Bombyx mori: one gene and its partner. The protein of the gene in region 1 binds, or shares a complex with, the protein of each later gene. Links are inferred from orthologs where the notes say so. Each region holds a gene or a part of one and is shown on either strand. Other genes may lie near its edges.

The links. Proteins that work in one complex are often made in the same cells at the same time.
Region 2: telomerase Cajal body protein 1 homolog (region 1) and probable H/ACA ribonucleoprotein complex subunit 1 share a complex: the UniProt entries of both Homo sapiens proteins name them as parts of the telomerase holoenzyme complex. The link is inferred for Bombyx mori from reciprocal best matches to the Homo sapiens genes WRAP53 and GAR1.

Annotation. Positions count from the first base shown.
Region 1 is NC_085124.1:10,450,156-10,454,438, reverse strand, and holds the start of telomerase Cajal body protein 1 homolog, read right to left. Parts: upstream 2,863-4,283; 5' UTR 2,726-2,862; coding exon 2,289-2,725; intron 1,672-2,288; coding exon 1,483-1,671; intron 1,135-1,482; coding exon 974-1,134; intron 1-973. UniProt on the Homo sapiens protein: RNA chaperone that plays a key role in telomere maintenance and RNA localization to Cajal bodies. Specifically recognizes and binds the Cajal body box (CAB box) present in both small Cajal body RNAs (scaRNAs) and telomerase RNA template component (TERC).
Region 2 is NC_085110.1:1,087,257-1,090,871, forward strand, and holds probable H/ACA ribonucleoprotein complex subunit 1, read right to left. Parts: upstream 2,111-3,615; 5' UTR 1,623-2,110; coding exon 924-1,622; 3' UTR 626-923; downstream 1-625. UniProt on the Homo sapiens protein: Required for ribosome biogenesis and telomere maintenance. Part of the H/ACA small nucleolar ribonucleoprotein (H/ACA snoRNP) complex, which catalyzes pseudouridylation of rRNA.

The DNA.
Region 1 (4,283 bases):
ATGCTGTTAAAGCCAGAATCCGTCGAATTAGGCAGCAAAATATCTTATAGCGAGAAATGAAGATTCCCGATAGGACTCTGTCGCGTATTATAAAACAAGACCTGAAGCTCGCAGGATATACCCTAAATCAATCTTTATAATTAAAGTGATTGGATAAATGAAAATGCCTTTTGATGCGATATGCAGGTGAAAGGCACAGAAATATTCTCTTTACTGATGAAAAAAATTTCACTATTGAAGAACACTGCAATAAACAAAATGATAAAGTGTACACTCACAGTTCTAAAGAAGCTGCTGAAATGGTAGGAAAGGTACAAAGTGGTCATCATCCTGCATCAGTGATGGTTTGGTGGGGCGTGTCTTATCAAGGAATCACAAGCTATATTTTTGTGAAAAAGAAAGTGAAAACTTCAGTCAATGTGTATCATTGTCCATGTATCCATGTCTTGGATTATGCTGTAAAACCTCTCAGCAATACACTTTTTAAAAATATACTGTGGACTGGCCCGCATGTCTCTGCACCTGGTCACAAGGCAGGAACTACCCAAGCCTGGCTTGAAACCAATGTTCCAGACTTTGTAAGAGCTGAAGTCCAGCCTCACCGAGCCCAGACCTCAACCATTAGACTTGAAATTATGGTCAGTTTTAGAGAACATGGCCTGCTCTAAGCGATACAGCGACATTGAGTCTTAAAAAACCTTTGGAGCAAGCAGTGAAATTTCCCTTGGAAACAGTGCGCAAATTCATAGTTTCATGGCCAAACAGATTAAAGGCCTGTATAAAAGCCAAAGGTGGCCATTTCAAGTAGAATATTTTTCTTTATTTTTTGCTGACTTCATTTCTTTTTACTTCATTAAAAAAAAAACATTTTCATTTGAAACAGAACTTATGGCTGGATTAGGTATATATAGGTATTGGGTATATATATAACAATATGTAACAAACGTTACACCAATTATTCAGTGCTATTTACCTCCATGTCCATACATGTCCCCAATTTTCTTAGTACCAATTTCTGATTCATTATACAAAGTTATTGTTGTATTCCAAGAACCAACAGCAACTAAGTTATTTTGTGTTGAAATGCTAGATGCTGAACTAGAAATCTTTTGCTCAGTAAATTCTCTGCCAGGCCTAAAAAATTTACTGATTAATATACAAGCAAATAAAATAGACCTAGAACTCAGGCAGGATTGCAACAATTATGTTGTTGAAGTCTATGAGCTCTAGTAATCACTTAAAACCTAGTTGTATACCAATCAAAGAAATAAAAAAATTGTCTATCTTGAGCACATTACTAACTTAATGAGTATATTAAAAGATTTTACTTCCATACAACAAATTCTCTTTATATTAGTATAGATACGATAAAAGCTTCCTGCCTTGATATAAAGTAGTTATTAGCAAGTCTAAGCTTTGCTTAAATACCCACACTGAGCATGAAATTAAAGTTTTAAGATAAATTTGATAATGAAGAATTACCGCTCAACATCAAAAATTCTTAAATGCTTCTTATAGCCAGCAATGATTTTTCTACCATCTGAGGTAAAGCTAACTGATAAAGCTGGTTCCATTTCATCTACTGCATTGAATCCTCTGTATGAACATCTGAGTGATCCATCAAATGCATCCCACATTTGTATGGGAGAATTTTGTTTTGTTGTTAACCAGCTGTCAATAAAATTATTGAGTTACATGAAAGTTAGGCATTTCTTAAGAAATCTATTTCAGCTCCTTATTTTAAAGGAAGAGAAATTATGTTTACTGACAAACTAAAATTGATATTTTATCATAATCTCAGCCTGTCCACTGCTGAACATAGGCCTCTCCTACTGATGTCCACTATGTCATCAGCCCATCTGGTACACGGCACACTGCACTTGACAGTACGTGGTCTCCATTTAAGGATTTTTCTGCCCCATCGGCTGTCAATCTTCGTACTATATGGCATTCCCACTGCCGCTTCAGCTTGCTAATCCTAGGGCTATGTAACAAGTTTGGCTCTTCTATGGATCTCCTCATTTCTGATTCGATCTCATAAAGAAATACCAAACATAGCCCTCTCTATAGGTTGCTGTGTGACACTAAGCTTCTTAAAAAGTTCCCTTGTGAAACACCATATCTCAGAACCGTACGTCATCACTGGTAAAACACATTGGTTGTACACCTTTGTCATAAGGCACTGAGCATTTTTTTAATTTTTAGATTGGTTGATATTTAAGTAACGATATTTTATATTTACATCAATTCCATTGTAGACCAAATATTGAGTTTTAAATCTCACTCACCAACAGGAAGGGGGATTTGTGCTGTTCATGAATGGGTACCAACAGAAGTCGTAAACTGAACCTGTTTCTTTTAAATGTATCACTGATTCTAAGACATCGATTATACGATCGCCACAAACAACGCCCTGGTACAATTCACTAGGAAGCTCGGTAACATGAACACCATCGTTATTGACAACACTTAAGCAACAGGTTCCATCTGGGGACCACTTACATCCACGTAAATAAGGCTGTATATTCTCATTAGCATTACGACCCCTTGACCACGAGCAAGTGGACAATTCAAGAAAGCTTTTGCTTGTAAATAATGCTGGATATTGAAAAGCGTTTTCTGTACACGCCGAACCCAATGTAAGTTCACTCGGATTTTGAGTTATGGTTTGAGGTATATTTTCAGCGTTTATTCTTGATGGTGTCTCCATTGACCAATTTTCCATAATAAAGGTAGATCACAACACAATTTGTGATTATGTATAACAAATTGACAATTATTCCGCTCACGGTTTCAAAATAAAAACAAAATCGTCGTTCGTCAATCGACCTTACCGCCTTACTTTTTTTTAAGGGATTTTATGACCTGGTAACTAAGATCTTTAGGTCATGTCTTATATTAATTTATAATATTCTTATTTTTATGAAAAATGATAATTATATGGAGTGAAATGAAATGAAATGAGATGATATGGGATGAAATATAATCTCGAGATCGGGAATGATCAATCACAAGAACGGTCGTACATACATAACAACATAATTTTTTTTTGGGGCCGGGGGCTGAACCTCCCATGAGGTTCCCCCGCCTAGGGGGCACGCAGGGTATATGAGACTTGACGATCTGCAGATGTTGGAAGCAGACCGTAGGTCCAAAATTATTTAAGGACCCTACCGCACTAAACGACTCCCCTGCCCCTTATACGGTTGCTCTTCCACAGTATGTTCGACGACGACAGCGACGACGGCAATGCGGACCGCATCGCGGACCGCTTCCGAAGATGCGTCGTCACATGCCAGCACGCTACAGTGACAATAGCGTGTGGCGCAACCTCGACTACCTCAGGTCGCCCCGTGAACATCACCGGGAGGAGACTGCTTCTTCACAGGGGTTGGAGCTGGACGAACACCCTCCTCCAATTCCCGGCTCGGTGGCGGTGGCCCGGCGCCGAGAGGAAAGAAGAGCTCTCTCTCCCCGTTCCGCCGCCTCCTTCTGCATGATGGTGGACTCACAGAAGTCGAGCATCGCCTGCCAGGGCTCGTCGCTGCCGCACATAGTCCGGACCTATTTTTGCAACGAGGGTGCGGCGCTGCTTCGCGAAAGCGGGGCAGTATGCGAACGTGTGCTCCGCCGTGACACCACAACTATACATTAACCCACAGACACAACCCTTGAGTTTCTCACCGGATCTTATCAGTAGGTCGCGATTCTGATCCGGCAATAAATTCAATAAAGCACTACTCTTGCTACAGTAGATGTTAGCAAAGTCTCTCAGGCAGGTTAGCACGGAGATTTTATTATATGTTTTATGTATTTAAATTCAGATCTCACACAACTAAAGGCGCTGTGGCGTGGCTTGTTTTATTTTAAAATATCATCAAAATTCACTCAATGGTTGTACACGTCACGCTTCAATTAATTCAAAATAAATTAACTGAAATGCAGTCAAAAAAGTTACTTTGGAAAGTATATTATCTCGCAATTTTTATTATCTTCGTTCAAGGACGGTAGGTATAACCTTTATTCATTATTGATCAAATTAGTACATTGATGAAAGTGAAATATATTTTTATAAAGTATTTTCAGTGATTACTCGTACAGTAAACATATGAAAAATAGTTCTAATCTTTTGATAATATAAGTTTAAAAACTTTAAGAACATTTTTAAGTAATTAAAACTACTGTTAAGGTATAATCTCGCGGTTTTTATTGTCATCATCAAGATCGTAATCAAGAAAACATCATCATTAAAATATCGTCAGTGACCATGAAAACTGTAAAGT
Region 2 (3,615 bases), on another chromosome or scaffold:
TGGTCAATGACCATAACTTATTATCATAAATATCCATAGCAGTGTTTATATGTGTTTAGGAAATTGTTACAATTATGAGTTGTTTGTGTAATAATGTTATTAAAATGGATAATATCTAATATTAAAACATTGTTACAATACAAGCAAAGTAGATTTGATCGAAATGTGTTTTGCTTTACAAACTTGCCACAAGCAACAGAATACCTTTGCATTAGTATCCTCCTCATACTGTGTCCAAATGAACAATAGAAAAAATTTATATATATAGCATGTTTTCTATTTCTTTGCAGGCCTGGCATTTTTTTAAATCTGGTAGCTCAGACAACAGTCAAAGAATTTTAATAACATTTTAAGTCATCACAACGGTATCAAAGCCGCTGCCTATTGTATAATATTGGAGTGTTTTGAGATATGAGCTGCCGAGCGAGCGATATTTTGCTTTCAGATACGAGCTATTTGACATCAAGCAAGCTTATGAAACAAACTTGTATCTCGAGGTACCACTGTATTTGGTGCAAATATTATGGAGCCTTGAACAAGCAGTTACCTGATCGTTATTTTGTTGAAATCAAAGTATTAAGAATAAGCACAAGGTGTGTTTTTTAAAAAGAAAATAAAAACCAGATTAAAATATTATTTTATATTAAACTTAACTTACATCTAGATAGTTTGTGTATGCAACAAGTTTAGCTTTAAATCTGCAAAATATGTTCAGTTTTGTTATTAAACAATTTATATTTTGGTTGTTTTTTATTATACATATTATTATATATTTAATGTATAAATGTAATAAAATGTATTAAATCTGGAATCCAACTTCTTTTCACGCACACTTTCAAGTTTTCTTCTTAAAAATACCAGACACCTGGCAAATATCCATACACAGAATTTTGGACACTGTAGGTCTGCTGCAGGTCCATGGGCTATCTTCTGCCTCCTCTGAATCCACCACCCCTGCCTCCGCCGCCTCTTCCGAAACCACCGCCGCCGCCTCTACCGAAGCCTCCACCGCCACCTCTACCGAAGCCACCGCCTCCTCCACGACCACCGCCTCCTCTGCCAAATCCACCGCCGCTGCCGCCGCCACCAAATCCACCTCCACCTCTGCCACCACGACCGCCTCGGCCTCCTCTACCACCTCCCGCGCCTCTCTTTGCCCCAGGCGGTTGTGGCAAAAATCTTTTCAAAGGTAGCAACTTCGCGGGATCAATGAAAAATTGCTGCCCTTCCTTGAAACTCTTGGCTTTGACATTTTCTCCTAATTTGACTGACACAAAGTAATCTCGTAGATTGCCAAATATCTCGTCAATTTTGCCGATTTGTTCTTTGTTTTCGAGGAATATAGGCGCGTTGAAATACGGCACGTCTTCAATGTCTACTTTGCAGACTAGATCGTCTTGAACGGTCCAACCATAATGTCCGAGCGGAATAACAGCCTCGGGCGGTCCAGCATCTTGGTAACGACCTCCGCCACCACCACCCCCTCGACCGCGGCCTCCGCCAAATCCACCACGGCCACCGCGCCCTCCGCCACCGCCTCGTCCTCCTCCGCCGCCATATCCACCACGGCCTCCAAATCCACCACGTCCTCCACCGCCGCCTCCTCTACCGCGGAACGACATGTTTTAATTAACAATTACCAAAGTTATTATTTATAACCTCAAACTATGCGTATTGTCGCAATTCACAACATGCACGAAGTTTTGACAAGTTTATGAATGAAGGCATAGATAAATGAGATAAAAGAAATTAAGGGATTTTATGACTCGGACCAAGACCTTTAGGTCAAGCCTTATTTTAATTTTTATTTTATTTCTATGAAAAATGATAATAGGTATGAAGTGAAATGAAATGAAATAAGATGAGGTGATATGGTATGAAATATAATCTCAGCAAAATGGTGGTCATTTACTGAGATTTTTTCAGTGGACTTTTTGGAAGATTCCGAGAAGTTACGTTGAGCGGCTTTGTTTGATTTTCCCACATTTGTGCACTTTCACAGATACTAAGCAGTTAATAAACCACCGCTGTTACACATTTAAACATGAAGAAACATTAAATAGACAAAATAAAACAAATCACACAACTTCACTCCTCGCGTTCCCGCCACAAAGTCAGATAAATTAGAATTTTACATACCTATTTGAGAATGAAGGTGCGGTCATAGATGATACACCTAACTACCGAATGACAAAGCGAAAGACATCCACGCTGTTATTTCTGTTACTAAGAACGGTGAGCACGGTAAACCTAGTGTTAGTGGTTACTGAAGCCCCTTGACATCGCAACGACAATACTGCCGCCCCTTTTGGGACATGAGGTCGCAGTCTCAATTATATAGTTACCTATATAGCTCACCTACACGTCTATCCTGCCCTTCAAACGTAGTATTATCTAGCTATTGATTCGTCCCTACCAATTGTAATTAAGCAAATTATAATTTTTGCGGTTTGGATCGTCTTTACCTGATGTTCTGCATAATTAAAACTACATACTTTTGCGGTTTTATCTCGTGGTTCGTAAATTCTTTTAAAAAAAAAACTATAAAATAATATTTTTTGTGTTATGAAATAGCAATTTAGCATATTATAAACTATGAAAATCGTCGAACTTTGGCCTTTACCGTACTAATACAACATTAAATTGTTCATTAACTAAATTATTGAACAAGGTGCGGAAATATCGCCTACTACCTCGTGTCAATAATAATAACTATAATTTCTGACAAGTGAACCAGCAATCACGTTTAGAGGTCCGAGGTGCTTCGCTTAATCTCAGAAGAGTGCCAGTAATTTCTTTTCTGAAACTAAATAAAACTGTCATCCCTCGAAATGATTACGCTGATAGGACTAGCCATTAAGTAAGAGCGTTACAAGGCATATAATTGTGAGATTATAGATACAGACAGATCAGTATTTTACGTGCAATGAGTGTTGACTAAAAATGAAGAAGTCATTGCTGCTTCATGTGGTATATTCATTGCTAGAAAGTAATTAATACGTTAACAATTTAAAAGCAGTCATAAGAATAGTTCTACTAATGAACGCTAATCTCTAAAATAGTGGGCTTTGATAGCACGTTGATACTAGGTGGGCTCGTCTACATTATCCAACAAAGAGCACAAACTATTCTTCGAATGTATTATCCGCAACTAAAACCGCAGGCAGCAGCTTGGTTGTGAGTGTTGTGGCCCTGGCATTGTTGAGCGACTACTTATGTCAGATGGATCCTTCTTCCCTGCGAACAATAGAAAAAAACCAAACACTCTGACCCGAGAAATCTACTTCAGCCGCAAGAAAACTAGAAAGACTTTTTGGCGATAGGGCGAGAAGCGAAATTGTGTGCATTGTTTTATTGTTCCTTCAGGTTTGAATGTGTATTAATGGTTAAAATATAACCATATATAACCATTATATTAAGTGTTTCGTATTTGTACAAGTGGGACGGACTTATCTTCTCAGGATCTTCCAAAAATTCCACTGATTTTACTGCGACTTTTAATTCATCCCATATAATCTCATTATATTTAAGTTCATATTAATTGATTAATATCTCAAATTAATTATCTTCATTTCATTGCAAAAGATTAGGCTCTAAGGTGTGAAATCTTCGCCT